4 linked regions of the Arabidopsis thaliana genome follow. The protein of the gene in region 4 interacts with the protein of the main gene of each other region in a pairwise test. Each region holds a gene or a part of one and is shown on either strand. Other genes may lie near its edges. The genes, in order: UBC34, AT1G65690, IQD6 and WAKL10.

Region 1 (6,356 bases), about 24 Mb from region 4:
CGTCCACGGATTTAGAATTTATCTTGTTTTCCTTTATTTTCAACGGATTTCTTTAAACCCTTTTCAACGAATATTGAATGTCTTTCTTTTTTTCTTTCTTACCAAATACTCTGTCAAAAGCCATCTATATATTTATCTTTTCAACGAAAAATCAATCTAAAAAAAGAATGTAATAAACGTAAATGAGATTTTTTTTTAATTTCAAACAAAGGAATGAGATTATTATTATTGTTTTGTTTTGTTTTGTGTGTTTTCAATCCATAATCCGTAATCTCGAGTCTTTTAGCCGTTTATGATATTTTCTTAGTCAAAAAATTTGTCTAAAGAGAGGTCGTAATAAATGAAGGTGGTTTTTTCTTCTTCTTTTTAATTTAGTTTGGTACTAATAATAATAATGAACAATTAATTGGAGATAAAGAACTTCTGGATCGTGGATTATTCAGACAAAACCATGTGTTTTATTGGTCGGAGTCGGCGCGTAAAACGCTGTTAGAAATTGGACAAAATTTGGCCATTATGGGCCGAGTTACGGTTTAGAGACTCTCTTCCGGCCCAACCGGTTCGTGGGAAAAATTCATCATATTATACATGGGATCAGCAAAACGACGTCATTTTGGCGGCGGTTTTCTCAGCGTTTCCTAATAACAGTAATATTATTATACATGGGATCAGCAAAACGACGTCATTTTTGAGTAATGTGTTGGATGCCACTTTGTTTCTTCTTGGTCCAAAAGTTTGTAAACAATCTCAACAATCTGTATCGGTGTTTTAGAGAAGTACAAACTTACATGTCAAAAGGAATCTAGTGCTCACAGCTGTGATTACTTCTTTCATTGTTGCTGTTTTGCAGTGAGGAGTAATCACTGGATATCGAGATAGGCAGCTAAATAGTCAGGATATTGTGAGGTTTCCTGCAGAACAACTTTCAATTTTTTACGGATCTGAGGATGCATTTTTGAAGCATATAGAACCGAGAACATAGATAAAGAGGTTGATCATTTTATATTTAAGGTTTTAAGCACCACTGAGAACAACATGCTATGGCTGAGGATAAGTCTGCTGAAGTCAAATAAAAGAAACCACAAAGCAGAGAAAAGAAGAAGAACTCAAAAGATTAAAGAGGTTGAGAATAGTTTTGGAAAGTTAGACTACTCGAGCTAGGAGGCGTTTTAAATTTTCATCCTATCTTGATCGATCAATAAGATTAAAAGATGAGTTCATATATTTCAAGTAGATTACAGCATTAAAAGCACACATGTCTAGGTACCTATTCTACAAAAAAAACGAAAGTAGAGGATCTAAATAAGGACAAAAAAAGAACTGGAATTTTAAGGTTTTCTTGATGTTGTGATCTGCTGTTGTTTCCTACTTGCTTTAACATCTACCGGTGGATTACACCTGATACAAAAAGAAACACTTTTTGATGTCAATTACACCTAAAACTCATCTTTGGGGATACATAAAAAAAAAGAAAAACTAGATTGTGTCTCGTATCTTCTTTACTTGTTCTGTATAGGGTTTGAGCCACTCCTTGGGATTCTTCTGAAGCTATCATTTTCTCCCTTAAGTGGCTCTTTCTTCATCTCCTTGCTTACAGGCAAATCTCTCACAGCTTGACTCGAATGTGTCATCGTTAACAGAGAACGTCCTTCTACACTATACTTGCTGCTAAAGAAAGCTACAAGTAACAGAACCAGAGCCACTGAACAGCATCTCTTCATTCTGAGTTCTCTTCTTGAAATTTCCTTTAGGACTCTTGAAACCTCTTGACTTTTTCTTGTTCTGTTTTTCTGTGAACTGAGAAAATCTTGGATGGAGATGTGTGTTAGAGAAAAGAGAGACGAGAGACTTCTAAAGCTTGTTGGTTTTATAGAATAAGATTTATGTGTGTTTGAACACATAGTTATTGGGATCTGATCACGTGATCTTACTTTGACTAATGCTATTTAATCAGATGGTGAGATACTTATCTTATTCTTAATCATTTACTTACGATGATGATGATATTCCTCAAGCATCTACATTGAAACAATGATACAATATCATATGTAGAGACAAAGATCCACATATTCACATTACCTAACTCATGTAACTGCTTTGAAACTAAGAGATGGTGGTCATGTGATTAGAGCACGTGATTTCTGCCTACTGTTATCGGGGAACTCAAAAGAGGCTGAAACTTAACTTTATTGAAATTATTTTTTAAGCATAACTTTGGAATTTGGAGGTATTAGTGTAAGTCCAATTTCAGAAAAGAAAAAATTGCAGGTAACAGCTGTTTTGTCTCACTACTAATCACTAGTTTTTTTTCTTCTTCTGCAGCTATTTTTTTTATATTTCATGAAGAGAAGGAAAAATTGATTCCAAGAACCGGCACAGATTCTTTGATGAGTGGTGGAGAATAAAGAAATAGGGAAAAGTGCATTACGCAAAATAATTATTAAATCATTGATCCTCTAATAACGAACCGGAATGGATTATACAATACCGGTCTAACTTGTGTTGAATTTTGTTCGGTTTAGATAAACCAAGCGCGAGTTAGGCTAATTCTTTCTCTCTCTACCCGCGGAGAAGGAGAAAGTGAGATTAACGAGAAACCCCAAGAGAGAAAATCTTCATCGACAAAATTCGATTCAGGTGATCAATTTCTTTCATATTTTCGCAATTATTTCTTGGATCTGATGTTATCTACTTTGGAATTTCTTCGCTGCATTATCTTTTGATTTGTTGTTCTTGTTCCTTTGCGTTTCTGGGTAAGAGCGAAGCTTGAAATTGCAATTGGAATCTCTAACAAGTTTAAGACTTTGCTTTGATACGGTTTATGTGGAAGTATCTGTGATTTTCTTATATATTTATGGAAGATATTGCAGCTGATTCGAGTTTGGTTTGCCTATCATTGTTGCAATTTTCTCGGTTCAATCAAAGGATTTTCTAGGTTGATATATAATTCCAGGGATTTCCAGATAATTTCCTTTAATTTGGTTGGAATTCGATTGAATTTTCGTTGCTTTCAATTGGTTTGCAGTGATTTGGGTGAAAAGATTTTTCCAAGCTCATGGAAATTGGGGATTTTTATTCAAAGGGTGTTTCTGGTGATCATAGAGTTGTTTGACTCAAGTTTCATTTGATCTTGTGTGTATTTGGTTGGTTTTTCTTTTCAATCAGGTCATGAAAGTATTGCATAATAGCTAGAAGTATTGTTATCTCTGTATATGTGTTGTGAGATAGTACAATTGGTAAAGTTTCCATATCAATGGCACGAAAATCAACTGCAATTTACTCGTTTCGATATATGTTTTTATGTAGTTCATATATGTAATTCAGACATAAGGGTTTTATGTAGTCCATCTCATCAGTAGGTGGACTTTCACTCATATTTGTATTTCGTTTTGTTGATAATGTTAAATGGGTGTAACAGCTGCTGCAGCTATTCACTTCGTCCATAGCACGTAGATGGCAGAAAAGGCCTGTATAAAACGTCTTCAAAAGGAATATAGAGCACTTTGCAAGGTACACTCTCTTTACTTGTTTTTCTACCTCTCTCGAGCTGGAACCAGGATTCCATATTTTTATTGCTCAACCAGTTTTCTCTGTACTTTCAAATGATGCTGTATCTATATGTGAATGTTTTCTTGGTTTTGGTTTAGAGTAAGTTTCATATTTTCTTTTGTTTCTTTGGGGGTTATTTAATATGTTCTGTTTTTGGCCTTTAGGAACCAGTCTCCCATGTTGTTGCTCGTCCTTCCCCAAATGACATTCTCGAGTGGCGTAAGCCTTCCCTATCTTTTTTTCTTAATCTTTATTCCTGCTGGCTTCCTGTAATCCTGTTGCAAGCGTTTCTATAAAGATGTTATGATAAGTATATATGATGGACATATTTGCTACACTTGTGAGTATACGTTAAACTAAGAAAAAATGGGATACTACGATCTAAGTAGACAGAAGAGGTCTCACATTACTTTGATGGAATAGTGAAGACTTATTTATCAAAGGTTTATATGTACTTACAATGCATAGATTTGATAGTTTTCTTCTCAATTGTGAAAGGCTGTCAGTGTTACTGTTAGCCTGATAGCGGTTAGGGAGTTTCAGTCTTTCTATTATTACTGCATTTAGTATGTTAAAAAGGGTAGCTTGATCTCTTACTAAAATAGAGTTAAACTATTGGATTAATCTTACAGATTATGTGCTGGAAGGCAGTGAGGGAACACCTTTTGCAGGTGAAAATCTTCTTTTGAAAGTTTCTTGTTAGTGTTGTCTTACGCAGTATCTTATTTTTGATACTAAAATTCTCTTTACCAGGTGGATTTTACTATGGAAAGATCAAGTTTCCTCCCGAGTATCCTTACAAGCCACCAGGGATTACGTATGTTCCAATGGTTCCTCCAAATTCAGTCTCAACATTACTCTTACCTCATTTTTTGTCCAGTTTTTTAATGAACCAAATCTTTTTCTGTTTGCCTCAGAATGACTACACCAAATGGTCGATTCATGACACAGAAGAAAATTTGTTTATCTATGAGTGATTGTAAGGACAATCTGCACTTTCTGTTCATTATTTCGTATCAATTAACTTGTCTAATATCGAAATAAGTTGACATGGCATTTACAGTTCATCCAGAAAGCTGGAATCCGATGTGGTCTGTATCAAGGTATAGATTCTTTCTTTACTTTTGGAAGATGACAATCGATATACCCGTTGATAACCAACTTTTTTTCATGAATGCAGCATACTTACAGGACTTCTCTCATTTATGGTAAGCTCACTGTAGGTTCTACATATTTATGGACATCTTGTTTGAAAATTCTCATATTCTTATATTGTAATGGTTTATTAGCTTAGATATGAATATTCAAAAAGGAAGTCTATTTTTTCTTTTCTGTTCTCAAGCTTTCTCTAAACGTTTTCCTTGCGGCGCAGATGGATACCAGTCCGACAACTGGAAGTGTTAACACTACTGTAATTGAGAAACAACGGTTGGCTAAGTCATCTCTCGCTTTCAATTGTAAAACGTAAGATTTTCCCATCATCAAAAAATTTCAAATTCTGGATTCATATAGAAGCTAAGTTTAGTTATCTGTGGTTAGGATAGTCATAAAAGCTGGTTAGATAACGAATATAGGAATGAATGCAGTCCTGAGATTACATGTTTTCGGTATTTCACCTGAATCCAATGTTCTTACTTGTGACAGCCCAGCATTTCGAAAGCTATTTCCAGAGTATGTAGAGAAGTACAACCAGCAGCAACTAGCTGAGCAAGCTACCACACAACTGACAACACCAGAGTCTCCTCAAAAGAGCGATACCAAAGTCGAGTCAGAGAAAACCATCGATCCAACAAAGGGAGATTCAGAAGGTGGCTTGAAGGAGAGGAAAAAGAACAATAAACAGGGATTGCCAGCGTGGATAATACTGTTGCTAGTGTCGGTTTTCGGTGTGGTAATGGCGTTGCCTCTGCTTCAACTGTGATTTCTATGCAACAAACCTCGACCTGGTTTTCGTATAATCTCTCCTTGTGTCTCTCTCTCTTCAGCATCAAGAGTAGTCTCCTTTTGTCTAGTGCTCTTCGTCTGAATTTACTCATTTAGCACCTCATGGTTTGTGCTTGTAAAAGCAGATAACATAAGTTTGGTTTCACAATTACATACATATTGTAGCTTCGTTGGAACTACTTTGTATAGTATATATGAATTGAGGATAATGGTTTGGATTTGAAAAATAGAACCGTATGGTTTTCAAATTGTACTTCTCCTAGAGCTCACAGGTTAATTTGTCAATTTATGTAAATACTCTGGTGTAGTAACTTGATGAAAACAGAAGTGACAGAGAGAATACACAGACAATAGTGAATAGAATTGTTAGGTATATTGGGCCAATTAAGCAATTGTCCCTTTAGGCCCATTGGTAAGAAAAGGAAAAAACCATACTTAATGATAAATTAAAACCGGTATGGCTGTACCGGTTCAATCTGTCTTCAACCACCGACGTTGACTTGTTACCAATCTTCTTCTTCTGCTCGAGTCCAGTCCAGTGAAAGTGATTATGTTTATGGTTAATAATGTTAACTCTATAATTTAGTGGGAAAAATGTTATTTAATACCTCAACTTACAAAAAATGGTCAAATTAACCGTGAACTCGTGAAATGGCCGTTTTAACTTTCAACAAAAAGTTGACTTCTGTTTTAACATTCAAGTTTGCGTTGACTCGGCCTAATTAACCACCGTTAAAATTCCTTCTAACAGCGTAATTGACAGACGTTACAGAACATCCGTTAAGGTGATACGACGACGTTTTGTGCTATCAACAGACTTCAAAGTCGACGAAACCTCTGAAAAATCCCCAAATCAAAACCCA
Region 2 (4,394 bases), 5.5 Mb from region 4:
CGTTCAGTTGTGAACTTTAAGTAGAGTTTTCTTTGTCAAATTTGAAATCCGACACATTTCATTGTTTTTCTCTAGTCAAACTACAATATACAAATCTTTTTTTTTTTGGCCAAATAATATACAAAGCTTATGATATAGTAACGAATAATAGAAAGATATATGACTTACCACCAATATGAGCGCATATATTATATTTTTTGCCATTCTCTAAATCTTTTTTCATCAAAAGAAAAATTATCGACATTATGCTCATTCTCTAGCCAGTGTTACAATACCTTTCAAAGGTAGCCTTCCTCCTGAAACTGGTTGTACAACTACAAAGACTTCGGTTTGGTATATAACTTGAACTAGGAATTTGTTTCTTTGTACTTTTGATTCAGGACCTTACTTCATGAGGATAGTTCTCAAATTGTTACAGAGGACTGTCACAAGTTAAGTACATGAATCTTCTTTGTGTAAGTTCTTTTAGCGTTTCTTTTCTACATGTCTCTCTCTTCTCGCAAAAATTCAGTTTGTTCTATATATCTATGTCTCTTTATTATCTCTTTCATGTTGCTTGGAATGTCTTACCATAAGGTTTATTTATTGAGTTTGGTCTTTGCTTTAGAATACCAGAAGTAATTGTTGGAACAAGTAAATCTAATGCAAATTTGAATTCATAACTAAGATCTTGGAGTTACCTCCAATTTAAGTTGTAAGTAGTTAAAACTGAATTTTGGAGTCTACCTTCAACCAATTGTTTGCTTAAAAGAAGGTAAGGTGGAGTGGTGGACATGCTCTGGTTTTAAAAACTTACAACTACTATACTTTGAATTCCACCTATGTACATAGTATTGTATACTTTAATATATTAATTTAAACCAACAGTTTATTATACAACAAAGGTCTGAGACACAATAATGTACTTTAGAGGAGAACTATATATGAGTATGTGACTATATCTGACAAAATTCCCTCTGTATATCTCGATATTAATTATATAAAAAAAAACGGATCTATAACCTAAGACGAAATTTGCAACTACTACTTTGAATCTTAATAACATTATTGGTAGCCAAGCTATCAACAAATACACCACATCTGACCAAGAATCTTACTTCGAAGAGCTTCAACTTCCCAAATTTGACCCGAACCGGTTGGTTTACTCTAATTCTCAATGGTATATTCCCGGTTCTTTGTTGTTGCTCTTCTAATGTCGTCCTTAAACCCGATGCATTTTGTGTTTGACCAGTCATTTCTACGTATATCACTGTCGTATTTTCATGTCCTTGGTAAAATTTTGGCAACGACCCTATTCAAAAAAATCACAAAAGTTCAATGAAGTTAAATCTATAAGAAGACCCGGTTTGAAATGGTGTAAACGAATTATAATCAAACAAGAAAACCAAACAACATAAATAAATATGTTTAGTTTTGGGGTTTTCAGTCCGGATAAACCGGTATGATCCAACTCTACCAAAAACGATTGATTTGAATGAATTAACTCTATTATATCCGAACTATTGAATATGAACCGAACAAAAACTATCTAAACCAAATTTTGTTTGAAACTAAAGATATACAGTATTTGACAATCCTAATCCAAAATGAAAGTAAACCCAAAGCCAACCAAAAAAATTTAGACATCCCTAATTTGAAAAGAGTTTTAAAGTCTTCCTTGTGTACGAACCAAACCAAAGGAAAAGAACAGAAATCAACCAAATAAACCGGTTTTGTAGTGAGATTTTGAAGCCTTCCTACGTTAAAAAACCAAAAGAAAGCAAACCGGAGTAAACCAAAAGTGACGTACCATTGCTTAGTTGATGTTCCATGTACCACACGGTAATCTTGCTCCCATCTTCATAATAAATTCCAATCTTCTCGTTCGGATTCTTAGCGGTTATAGTCACGTTAAAAGCCGTAGTCAAACTCGAGTCTTGGTTCAGTGCAAACCGGGTGAGCTGTAACCGGTCAATAGAGTAATCCGGTAGCTTCGGTTTAAAGACAAGGTATAGTATACCAATGGATGCGCCTACTGCAACGACAAGAAGCAAAAGAAAGCAGAACGTGTAGCAAAAGCATCTGCAACAACAACTTCTTCTCTTCTTTGGAGGAGCCAACGGCACGAACCGTTGTGGCCTTTGGTTCAAAGGGACTTTGGATGGGTCTCCATGTTCTGATCTAGAGGAACCACGAGGAACCAAAGGAGCTGTTGGACGCGCTGTTGCGGCTTCTGGATCTTGGACCGGATAGATTTTTTGGTGTTGAGACATTTTTGGAAAATCTTGATGACACCAAGAAGAAGAAGAAGCTTTGTTTGTAGATCTTATTTAGGGGTTTGGGAAATTAATATAAGTAGGGACCTTATGGAGTTTTTAAAGTCAAGAGGGAAGAACTTTTCAATGGAGAGACTTCTCTATATGAACCTATAGATTATGAAAAACAAGTACATTCGCTTCCATACAACACATCACACGTGTAATGTGAATTTGCGTGTCTGCTTAGGTAGCGGTCTTTTATGGAAATTGAGTTTGATGTGAACCCATCAAATAAAAAAAATAAAAATCATTAGTAGGTATCAAATTACTTGCAATATAGATGGAAAAATTAGGATGACTTTTTGGAAAATACATATATTGTAGTCCTATACATTATCAAACAACTAAAAGTTATATCCACTTAAGATATTTTCCAATTACTATTTGTTTCTTTTTATTTCCTATAATTTTTTCTATTTACTCTTTTGCTCTTTCATGTTTACTCTTCTTGATTTATTTATATTTCATATATAAATGGTACTTAATCTACAAAATAAAATTTCATATATTTACGCCTCGCATTGTCTTTGAGAAAATACAAGTTTTTAATATTTAGATCGCATATAGTTTGACTAATAGGTACATTATAAAGTCAAAATACATTTGATGAAGATCTACTTTACTTTTGTTGACCTAATCCCCTAAGACTTATGCAGCAGTGTTCTCATGCATTTCGTCATGAATTTTTTTTCTTTTACTTTTTTGTTAACATGCTTTATTTTATTATTTTTTTTGCAAATAAAATTCCATTCGAAATCCCTAGGCCCCAACGATGTTAATTTATTTGTAGTGTTTCTGTTTAATATTAATCGTTATCAACGAAAAATTTTTAGAACGCAATTCTTTTGTTCTTCATATTAATAACCAAAAATCAAAAGCTTCTGATAACACTTACTATGAAAAATTTCAAGAAATAAATCACTTAATATGAAGAATATTACATTGGAATCGTAAAAGAAGACCCAAGACTCCGATGAAATCAGAAGTGTTTGGTTTTGGCGAGTTATTACCAAAACCAACGACTTGTATGATGCGACTATGGGAGAATGACATATTAAGTTAATATCTATATTGTTGTCTTATAGAAAATGTATGATGCTTCTAAGTTTTAAATACGGCCATTTGTTGATGTTGATAGATTTGATGATGTATATAATCCTTCTAGATGAAATTGCAACGACATTATAATTTGTAAGATACCAGAAACTAATTCCTCTTTTTTTTTTCTTTTGCAATTTGAATATCTATAAAATTTTGGTTAACAATAAAAGTTTTTTTTCTAATCAAAGAATTTGTGGTCTAGTAGCAAACCTAGGTCCGTCCAAAAGATTGTATGATTTAAGTTTCCGACCAAAACGTTTAAGACATAAAATATCATATAGCTTTTGTCCTTAGGATACACAAATAAGACAACTCCAGACATCAAAACAAACTATCCAAATTGTTTACAATCAAATCTTCTCTTTGTTTTTAGGCTTTGAATGAGAGAATTAGATTTTCTCACCATAACTATATTCAATCAATGCACTACGGGTTTCAACGGATGGGCTCTCAGCTTCGAAAAATCCAGACTAGCATCAAGCTCCTCGTCCAGCTCCCCGATAACACCTCTGATCAAAGATGACACCATTTTTTTTATTGAAACAAAAAAACAATTGCAATGTTAGAAAATCACTGATGATGATGGATGATAAGAATTACATGTTGTCCCCTCTGATGATGTACAAACCCAACACATGTTGTTGTACTCCTTCCTGCAAAGATGAAGACATAGTAAGAGGTCTCAATCCTAATTCCAATATCCATCATTTTAACAGAACTCTGCCTTCACACCAAAAATATCCAAGAACATTTGTCTAATGAAGTATCAACATGACCTGACATACTCTTAGTGTAAACAAGAAAACAGACATGAATCAAACCTTTAACCCTCTTACGAAAAAAAGGAGGTGATCATGTATAATTAATTACACACTGCCAATATCTACGTATTTGACTTACCTATCACTAGCTAAATCTTTTGACATATGAACTCACAAGATTTTTTCAATCAGTTATAACACTCGAAGAATACTAACACTAAATCTGTTTCGGTGT
Region 3 (4,764 bases), on a different chromosome or scaffold from region 4:
AGAAACGTCTGCTTCAAGAAATTGACGGGTTTGGGAACCGTGATCTGATCCCGACTGCTCATGACTTACAACACAAGTTTCCATACCTCGATCAGGTGCTTCATTAGTAACAAACAAAAACCGAGAAGTTGAGTTTCTGTGAGAGATTAGAATCTTTATGAATGTTTTTTATTTGCCTCCTTTGTAGGTCATTAAAGAGGCTATGAGATTCTACATGGTTTCTCCTTTGGTTGCAAGGGAAACTGCTAAAGAAGTGGAGATAGGAGGTTATTTACTCCCAAAGGTATATTCAAACCCATCAAGCGGATTAGTCCATTTACAGTCAGCACTTGTAATCTATTACTTACCTTGTGGTTGTTGCTTAGGGGACATGGGTTTGGTTAGCACTAGGAGTTCTAGCAAAGGACCCTAAAAACTTTCCAGAACCGGAGAAGTTCAAGCCGGAAAGATTTGATCCGAACGGAGAAGAGGAGAAACATAGACATCCATACGCTTTCATCCCATTCGGTATCGGTCCACGAGCCTGTGTTGGACAGAGATTTGCCCTGCAAGAGATCAAACTCACATTACTGCATCTCTACCGTAATTACATTTTCAGACATTCCCTAGAAATGGAGATACCACTGCAGCTTGATTATGGTATAATTCTCAGCTTCAAGAACGGGGTTAAGCTCAGAACCATCAAAAGATTCTGATTCTTGAAACAAGTGAAATAAAAGCAAGACTGAAATTTATATTTAAATTCAAAACTCCAATGTAGTTCCAAAGGAAAAAGAACAATTAACAACATACACAGATATCTCACAACACACAAGACAACAACAAGCTGTTGAAACTCCAATCTAACAAGGTCACATTTAACCTCTCGGCTTCTCGAATCGAGTAGGAACACCGAGTGGTTTGGAGAAACTAACAAAAGGATCTGAGGAAGGACTAGTCTTCAATTCCCCTGTAAACATTCCAGAGTTCTTCATAAACTGAAACTCATCCATAGATTGCCTGAGACCGCGGTTAGTTCTTCGCTTAGCCTTTGTCGATTCAGTCAAGCTCATGTAACTTGGCTTGTGCTTTTTTGCTTGACTGCTAGAGTTATCTGAAACAAGTCCAGTTTTTCCAGAAACAGGCGTAGTTGAAGTACAAATCGAGGATGAACCTGAGCTCTCGTTAAACTCATAACCAGGACTTGAAGACAGCATATGAGGAGGAGGTTTTGCAGATACTCTAGTGGTCACATTGTTTCTTCTAACTTGAACAACATCCGCAGTTTCCGGTGATTTCAAATGTTTATGAGGCAGAGGAGGAGGCGTGGCAGCGGTATCAACAGTGTCCATAAGTCTAGTCTCCCATGGCCTAGCAGCCATCCAACGCTCCAACCAACTCCATCCCCAACTATTCTTATCAAACTCTTGACTTTTAAGATACGAAATCGAACTATTCGTCTTAAGGTTTGAGCTAGTAGTTGACCTCCATTGCTACACAAAACAAGATTCCCGATTCAGCTTCAGACACGAACTTAAACAAGATGTTGAATGTGGACAAGTTAGTTACCTTTTGAGCAAGAGCATAAGCCAAAGCACGTTCCCTCTTAAAAGCACCTTCTTGTCTCTGCTGCAACTTTGACTTAATATCATCCACAGTACCTTTCCTATCACACCACCCTTCCTGAGAACATAACAAATCTCAAAACAATAAACAATCATCAAACCAATGAGCTAAAAAGGTAAAGACAAGAACCTCGACTTCTTTCAAGAGATCAGATTTGGTTCTATGTTCATCTAAAAGCTTTTGAACAGCTTGTCCTTCAACAGTCATCCTCACACGACGAGCTCTAACACGAGCTTGTACTCTCACCAAAGCTTGCATGCATCTCAATGTAACAGCTGCTTGTTTCCTAACTTGTCTTCCTCTCACTAAAGCTTGTAACCTCACTATCCCTTTCAATGCCCTCAACGCTCTTCTCGCCTAATTAACAACAAATCCTCAAATTAAACTAAGTTCTATTCCTCTCAATTCTAATCAAAACCAATTAGCAAACTCACCAAGAATCCACGAAAAGCGGTTTGGATTCTAATAGCAGCCCATTCTTCTCTAACAGCTTTGAAATCTTTAGGAGGAGCTCTAAGAACAGTAGCAACAGCAGCAGAGTAAACAGTAGAAGAATCAACACCGTCTGAATCAGACCGATGTTTTCCTCGAAAACCCTTCCATGAATCTACTGAAGTAGTCCTCCATAGCTTCCATTTCTTGTTTTTCCCATTACCCTTTTCCTGAAAACAGAGTATCTCTCGATAAAGCTTTAACCTTTGAACGAGAGAACAAAAAAAAAAGATAATGAACTTACGATTTCATCCTTCTCTAGCTTCTTGAGACCGATAATGGACTTGACCCATTTCCCTGAAGCACCCATAGATTAAAAAGTTTCGATCTTTTTGGCTCGAATTCGTAGATTATTTTTTTCTTCAGGTATGTAGAAAGTTTGAGAGTGAGAGATTGATAGAGAGAGAGAGAATATCGGAGAATGTGAAGTTGTGGTGGTAATGGAGGGAGTGGTGGGTTAAAGAGAAGTTTTTGAAATTTGAACAAATCAAAGCAAAGCAACAAACAAAATATTAATAAAAAGTTTGCTCGAGTCTTTAGGCTTTTGTCTCTGATTGTGTTTTCACACTTATTTATTACTTACACAAACAAATGTGTCTGTGTCCTTCTCAGAGTTACAGGCATGAAAAAAGAAACCATGAAAAGGTACAATAAATTAATAAATATATATATATATGTATGTTAGGCTTTTTGTTGTTTTTTACTTTTTACAGTGACTCACTCATGTTCATGTAATACCTTGTTTTGTTTTATTATTCTTATATCATTGGATTCGAAATTTAAACTTCCCAAAATGTTGCAAATCAGATTTACGAAATACATTCTCTTTCGAAAAGCAATGTTTAGCTTTTGGATTTTGTGATTTGGACTGGTTAGACCTATCACTTGTCTAATAACCTCTATAACAGAACTTATTATCTTATATAATTATGACAAGGTTTTCTTTCTAAGACCATACACATTGGTCTTATGACTCAACAGTCAACACCCTATTTAACTCTCCACAAAACAGCGTTATAGCAATTTAAACTTTACAACTCTATTGCAAATTATAATAAATTATGCTCTCATAAAAAAACTAAATTCACGAGTGATTGATACAAAAAAACAACAACTGAAACGACAAAAGAACAACCTAAATTCACGAGTTAAAGAATCGAAAAAAATGCCCATGTATCTCCCAAATTTAGTTTTCAATATATATACTATTTTTTCTCGCTCATATTTAGTTTGAGTGAATCTTGTACATGAATCTATTTGTCTAGCAACTTTAAGATTAATTAGACATAATAAAAAAAAAAGATTAATCAGACAGAGAAAAAAGATGAACTCTGTAAAGATTGGGTCCTTAGCTATACAATGAAAATGAGATATATACAATTAATTCTAATTGATGATAACTTCTTAAAATAATAAAACAAAAATTACATGAAAACATGTACCACCGAAAACATGCACCATCACACTTGGGATTGAGTCCCGCTCGATACAAATGTAGGGATTTGGCTAATGGGCCGGACAATTGTGGCCCAATGTTGAAAAAAAACTACATGAAATACACAATGAAAGGAAAAAAATTCGATCCAAGAGTTGTTTGTCTGGCTAATGGGCCGGCCAATTGTGGCCCAATGTTGAAGAAAAAACTACATTAAACATACAATGAAAGTAAAAAAAATCGAGTCAAGAGTTGTTTCTGATATGATGTACATTAGCGATTAATGTGCTAACTCACAAATCAACCAGAATGGTGGTGGCATAGCTCTTAAAGAGGAAATGAGATAGAAACAATATGTTACAAACTAAAAATAAATCAAAATCATAGAGTATTACAACACACAAATAAATAAATTGGAAACAGACTCTACATGAAACCCATGAAATGAATTAGAAGAGAGAACACAAAAATATTGTATTAAATAAAATCTTTTGCCATTTTTCAATTGAGGATCATAATACATTGACGATGAAATCCAGAGATTGAATTCCTGATACCAAAAAAAAAAAGCAAATCAAAACCAACTATTGTTTTTTAACACAATTTAATCCACCTCATTTTCATCATCATTTGCAATATCCTATTAAATCAATTCAACACTCTCTATTGTAAATAATTTTAGATCATATTAAGCGGATCACTTTCGGCAAACGAATTCTTTAGACATAGGAGTGTAACTTTGGCTTTGGGTCGTTTTTCACATATCTTTGAAGGTAGAGAGAAGAGATAGTCAAAATCCTTTTTTAACTTCTTTAGTTGTTGGAGCTTTCTTTGGAATTTGACTAAACTTATGGTTTCTCTACTGTTGGACTAGGTTGGATTTCTTCATATCCAATATTATTTGTCCGTTGTTGACTTTTCTGATATAATCAACTTTCTTCAATTGAGGTTTTGCAACTTCGCCTTCATTGTCAACTTTTTGCATGGCGGTAAGAAAAAGTCTTCGTATTTTCGTTACCTATTAGCAGTACTGCCTATTAGTAGTTTAGTACAAATGAATCATTTTGATAGTTTTAGATGTTTTTCGGCTCATTGTATATTAATTCAAATTAAGAATCATACTCGAGTGACATAAAATAATAAATAATAAAAAAATAAAAAAAATAATAATGAAATAAGACGTGTGCCAAGGCCCAAGGGATTGGACGAATATAGAAGAAGTACGGATTAGC
Region 4 (5,456 bases):
ATAATGGTGAGAAACAATATTCAAAAGTACTACATGCTTCTTTGTTTTAAAATGTAAACGTAAGGCCATCTTCATCATTTCTGAATGAGAAACTTAATAATAAAATAATAACCCAAAAGTAAAAAAGTAAGAGAGAGTGGAAGAAGAGTTTCTCACTTGAGAATCAAGGAGAAACGATTCTCAGCCTAAATCGCGGCATGTCAATCAAATATTAGTTTAAGTATTATAATTGAAACAAAATATATTATATAATTAAAATAATAATTTTTTCTTTTGTTGAGAAACTAGCAAGGGTATCTATCCCATGGAGATACTCTAACAAATAAAGGCCGTGTTGATTTAGGTATAGGAGAAAGTACGATTTATTAAATATTGTAGCAGAAAACAATAGAGATAAGTTGGAAACTAGACACTTTTTTCACAAATAATTTGCAAAGTAAGTAGTTTTTTTAGAAATAGGGAGAATAGACACTTTTCTCTTTCCTTTCTAATACAATTTTCTATCTAATAGAGATTTTAGTGAATGACCTTTATAGCCTTCTGTTGTTTTGTCATATAGTCAAATAAAGTCAAAAATAACTTTTGTTTCTTAATGATCTAAGAAGTGGTATACGGTATAGACAGTGTACAAAGTGATGTACAAACGATAATATACAATGATGTATAACTACATAATAAGATGGTGTACGAAAATGTAAAATATGGTGTACATGATATTAATAGTATACATGCAATAATGAGATAATAAATCAAACCATAAATCACCTTGTACACCGTATATAATATCGTACACCTTCACCTATTGTGTACACCTCATATTCAAAAGATAAAACCATTTTTGTCAAGTGATAATATACAAAACAAAGTTTAAATAATAATAATATGAGATTAGTGTACATAAAAGTGTACAAATGTTAGTGTACATAAGTAAAAATGTATAATCATTACTTTCATTTAATGGTATACACCATTATGGTTAATTTAATAGTATACATGATGGTGTACACCATTATATTTTTATTAATTTATGAACAATTATTATTTTATTTTATAAATATGAGATAAATAGAAATATTTTAGAAGATATGTATAAAATGATTTGGTGTATAAGTGTTAGTGTACAAAACTATGTTTTAATGCTGGTGTACGAGAATTATAATTAAAAACATATAAATCATCTTGTTTTTGGAAGAAGAAATTATTTTTTAAAAATAATTTATTTTTATAAAATTCAAAAAGATGAATATGAAAAAAAAAATAACTATAATATAATAAAAATAGTTCTAAATAGTTAAATAATATAAAAAGTTTGACCCATATTTTTTCATATAAAGTAAAAGGTAAAATGGTATTTGACATATTTTTTGTCTTTTAGCTTATTACACATAACCTCTATTTCACAAAAAAAGTAAAAAAAGTGTCTATTTCACAAATTTCTAAAAAAACTACCTACTTCTCAAATTACTTTTTAAAAAGTGTCTACTATTCTAATAAGCCTAAAACAATAAGCTGAGCTAGATTCACTTCTCTATGTTTCTTGCGTTCATGCGTGTGACCTTACAAAAGAAAATCCAAAAAACGCAACTCTGACTAATGTTTCAGCAGATCATAACACATAATAAACATGCATGAGCTCTACAGATACTTGTTCTCTTTTTGATATTTAATTAGCCACGTTTTAATCTAGAGTCGGATTGTGATAGTTACAGTGGAAATTTCTCCTCGCGACCTAAACCAGTCACGTTTTGATATTTTTCTTTTTTCTCGTAAATAAATGGAGGAATATAAAATATTGAAATTCAAACAAGGAGGCTCACTGAAAGCAAGAAAAGCTTTCACTAGGAGGACTAGAGAAACAAAGACTGACCAGAGAAGAAAATATGAAAGCGAAATTCAAAGATGAAGACTTATGATTCATTGCTGGGTCAAACTAAACACAAGATTTTTCCTTCGCTCATCCTTACAAAACCCGTCTCTGCTTTTAGCTTTTCTTGAGCAGATCATAAACAGAAAACATTAATATGAGCTCTAATTGTAGTTGTTCTCTTTTGAGTCTCTTCTCTCTCCTTCTGATCATTGATCTCACCGTTGCTAGCTCTTGTCCTAAGACATGTGGAGGAATCGACATCCCGTACCCGTTTGGAATCGGAACGGGTTGCTATCTCGAGAAATGGTACGAGATTATTTGTGTCAACAACTCTGTTCCTTTTCTTTCCATCATTAACAGGGAAGTTGTGAGTATCTCTTTTTCGGATATGTATCGCCGGTTCTTTAACGTAGGCTACGGGTCAATTCGCATAAGAAACCCAATAGCTTCAAAGGGATGCTCAAGTGGCGGACAAGAGTTTGGATCACTTTTAAATATGACAGGTTACCCTTTTTACCTTGGCGACAACAATATGCTCATAGCGGTTGGCTGCAACAACACGGCGTCGTTGACAAATGTCGAGCCAAGTATTGTGGGATGCGAGTCTACTTGCAGCACAAATCAAGATATACCTATAAATGATTATCTCGGGGTACTCTACTGTAATGCTAGGTATGGCGATTCCGAGTATTGTAAAAATATTTCCATTATGAATGATACAAGCTGCAACGGTATTGGATGCTGCAAGGCAAGTTTGCCCGCTAGGTATCAACAGATTATTGGTGTGGAAATAGATGATAGTAACACAGAATCCAAGGGATGCAAAGTTGCCTTCATAACAGACGAGGAATACTTTTTGTCAAATGGATCTGACCCGGAGAGGCTTCATGCTAATGGATATGATACGGTTGACCTAAGATGGTTCATCCATACGGCGAATCATTCCTTCATAGGCTCTCTAGGATGCAAAAGTATAGACGAGTACACAATTCTAAGAAGAGACAATCGTGAATACGGAATAGGTTGCCTTTGCGACTATAACTCTACAACTACAGGCTATGCAACATGTTCATGCGCTAGTGGTTTCGAAGGCAACCCATATATTCCTGGCGAATGCAAAGGTATATAAGTAATTGCGCTAATTATCCTAGTTTTCTATGACCATGCATGATAAAAATATTCCAACGAGATCATTGTTTGATAACATGTTAATTTTAATAAAATCAGATATTAATGAATGCGTAAGAGGCATTGATGGAAACCCAGTCTGTACGGCAGGCAAGTGTGTCAATTTGCTGGGCGGTTATACGTGTGAGTACACAAATCATCGACCACTTGTTATAGGTAAGTCATGAAAATTTTCATCTCAAGTACACTCACATCTATCTAAAGTTTTCTTTTATATATACATATATAAGATTGTGTACAAATAGTGTTGAGCCATATAGAAAATGTATTTTGCTTTTCATTTTTCTTTTGTGGGTTTGTAGGGCTTAGCACTAGTTTCAGCACATTGGTATTCATTGGTGGAATATACTGGTTATACAAATTTATTAGAAGACAAAGGAGGTTAAACCAAAAGAAGAAATTCTTTAAGCGTAATGGGGGTTTATTGTTGCAACAACAATTGACTACAACTGAAGGCAACGTGGACAGTACAAGAGTGTTCAACTCAAGAGAGTTGGAGAAAGCCACCGAAAACTTTAGCTTAACCAGAATACTAGGCGAAGGAGGTCAAGGTACAGTGTACAAGGGAATGCTTGTAGACGGTAGAATAGTAGCAGTAAAGAAGTCCAAAGTCGTAGACGAAGACAAGCTAGAAGAGTTCATCAACGAAGTCGTCATTCTCTCACAAATCAACCATAGGAACATCGTAAAACTCTTGGGGTGTTGCCTAGAGACAGATGTCCCTATTCTAGTCTACGAATTCATTCCTAATGGTAACCTTTTTGAGCATCTTCATGATGATTCCGATGATTATACGATGACTACTTGGGAAGTGCGTCTTCGTATTGCTGTAGATATTGCAGGAGCGCTTTCATATTTGCACTCGGCTGCATCATCTCCAATCTATCACAGAGACATCAAGTCTACAAACATAATGTTAGATGAGAAACATCGAGCCAAAGTGTCCGATTTTGGTACTTCAAGAACGGTGACCGTGGATCATACCCACCTCACTACAGTAGTTTCAGGCACGGTGGGATATATGGATCCAGAGTATTTCCAGTCGAGCCAATTCACAGACAAAAGTGATGTTTATAGCTTTGGAGTCGTGCTAGCGGAGCTAATCACTGGAGAAAAATCAGTCTCTTTTCTGCGATCTCAGGAATATAGGACATTGGCAACTTATTTCACTCTTGCAATGAAAGAGAACAGACTCTCCGACATTATTGATGCTCGAATAAGAGATGGTTGTAAGTTGAATCAAGTGACAGCAGCCGCAAAAATTGCAAGGAAATGTTTGAATATGAAGGGAAGGAAACGACCAAGTATGAGACAAGTATCGATGGAATTGGAGAAGATTCGTTCATATTCTGAAGATATGCAGCCGTATGAGTATGCTAGCGAAAACGAAGAAGAAAAAAAAGAAACATTAGTGGACGTTAACGTAGAGTCGAGAAACTACGTGAGTGTTACCGCCGCATCATCTCAATACAGCATTGCTACAACATCTTCGTCGCGGTCAGATGTTGAACCATTGTTTCCTCGGTAATATATTAACCATGCATGCAAACAAATTTATTACTACCTCATATCTTTGCATTTACGTTCTGTTTTGGTCTTTACGTGTGAAGTTATTTCTATAAATGTCGTCACTCGTCAATTTGTGTTATTAACCATACAGATCTGTTTGTAACCACTTTGTAGTTTGTACTTTGTACTATACACTTCCCAATACATAAGAATAATTTCATAGTTTACTTCTTTAAATATTTTGGCAATAATTATTACAGAATTTACTCAAGTATTTGTTATCTGGACATGGGCTCTCTTACATAATTATACATGTCCAAAACATAAAACCGTTGAGACTGTTTTTAAAAAAAAATTTATACTACAATTATATGAGAATTTTGTGAATCCGGTCAGATCATGGATCATGTTGAACCTTAATCCGATTCGACTCAATGACCAATTCATTTCGGTTTAACAGAAATTATGTTAATTGACAATGTGATGGAACCTTAACCAACATAATTTAGAAATTTCGACTGATGAAAAGGATCCTTTAGTTTAAGAATTAAGATAGTCAACTTTTCCATTGCACACATATGAATGATTTGCGTTGGTGAATAGTCAATTTCCTGATATTAATAATCTATGTGAATAATCAACTTTGTTATATCATCTGGGAAAAAAAATGATAGTAAAATCGTATAACTAAAATTAAGATTCTAATTATGAAAAATTACAAAATTGATTTGGACAATAAGTTGTGTAAACTTGTAATGATAATTGATCCCTTGACCGTTGACAAAATAGAACTTCCAAATTCCAACGAGACGGCTCAATAATTTCTAAAATAGAACTTTCATACATAAAAGTCATTAGAGAAAAAAAAAATGAAGAGAAGGAGACTTTTTTT

What was found.
Region 1: the proteins of WAKL10 (region 4) and UBC34 interact in a protein complementation assay, tested with the Arabidopsis thaliana proteins (one large-scale study listed by BioGRID).
Region 2: the proteins of WAKL10 (region 4) and AT1G65690 interact in a protein complementation assay, tested with the Arabidopsis thaliana proteins (one large-scale study listed by BioGRID).
Region 3: the proteins of WAKL10 (region 4) and IQD6 interact in a protein complementation assay, tested with the Arabidopsis thaliana proteins (one large-scale study listed by BioGRID).

What each region holds. Positions count from the first base shown.
Region 1 is NC_003070.9:5,916,260-5,922,615, reverse strand, and holds UBC34 (ubiquitin-conjugating enzyme 34), read left to right. Parts: upstream 1-2,273; 5' UTR 2,274-2,637; intron 2,638-2,639; exon of another isoform or gene 2,640-3,418; 5' UTR 3,419-3,453; coding exon 3,454-3,510; intron 3,511-3,713; coding exon 3,714-3,768; intron 3,769-4,181; coding exon 4,182-4,220; intron 4,221-4,302; coding exon 4,303-4,366; intron 4,367-4,466; coding exon 4,467-4,528; intron 4,529-4,594; coding exon 4,595-4,652; intron 4,653-4,729; coding exon 4,730-4,757; intron 4,758-4,921; coding exon 4,922-5,013; intron 5,014-5,193; coding exon 5,194-5,470; 3' UTR 5,471-5,784; downstream 5,785-6,356. Other genes in the region: AT1G17285 (uncharacterized protein), read right to left, coding at 1,329-1,398, 1,504-1,901. UniProt on the Arabidopsis thaliana protein: Accepts the ubiquitin from the E1 complex and catalyzes its covalent attachment to other proteins.
Region 2 is NC_003070.9:24,430,647-24,435,040, forward strand, and holds AT1G65690 (Late embryogenesis abundant (LEA) hydroxyproline-rich glycoprotein family), read right to left. Parts: upstream 2,520-4,394; 5' UTR 2,253-2,519; coding exon 1,790-2,252; intron 1,292-1,789; coding exon 996-1,291; 3' UTR 771-995; downstream 1-770. Other genes in the region: EXPB6 (beta expansin 6), read left to right, coding at 1-24; LSM8 (Small nuclear ribonucleoprotein family protein), read right to left, coding at 3,817-3,907, 3,999-4,051, 4,131-4,182. UniProt on the Arabidopsis thaliana protein: Plays an important role in the abiotic stresses-induced abscisic acid (ABA) signaling and biosynthesis. Acts as a positive regulator of ABA-mediated seed germination inhibition. Functions downstream of ABF2/AREB1, ABF4/AREB2 and ABF3.
Region 3 is NC_003071.7:11,142,576-11,147,339, forward strand, and holds IQD6 (IQ-domain 6), read right to left. Parts: upstream 2,529-4,764; 5' UTR 2,408-2,528; coding exon 2,342-2,407; intron 2,268-2,341; coding exon 2,040-2,267; intron 1,963-2,039; coding exon 1,735-1,962; intron 1,663-1,734; coding exon 1,549-1,662; intron 1,473-1,548; coding exon 858-1,472; 3' UTR 715-857; downstream 1-714. Other genes in the region: CYP711A1 (cytochrome P450, family 711, subfamily A, polypeptide 1), read left to right, coding at 1-95, 188-283, 366-695. UniProt on the Arabidopsis thaliana protein: May be involved in cooperative interactions with calmodulins or calmodulin-like proteins. Recruits calmodulin proteins to microtubules, thus being a potential scaffold in cellular signaling and trafficking.
Region 4 is NC_003070.9:29,979,315-29,984,770, reverse strand, and holds WAKL10 (WALL ASSOCIATED KINASE (WAK)-LIKE 10), read left to right. Parts: upstream 1-1,951; 5' UTR 1,952-2,021; coding exon 2,022-2,988; intron 2,989-3,094; coding exon 3,095-3,211; intron 3,212-3,357; coding exon 3,358-4,583; 3' UTR 4,584-4,798; downstream 4,799-5,456. Other genes in the region: RFO1 (Wall-associated kinase family protein), read left to right, coding at 5,434-5,456. UniProt on the Arabidopsis thaliana protein: Serine/threonine-protein kinase that may function as a signaling receptor of extracellular matrix component.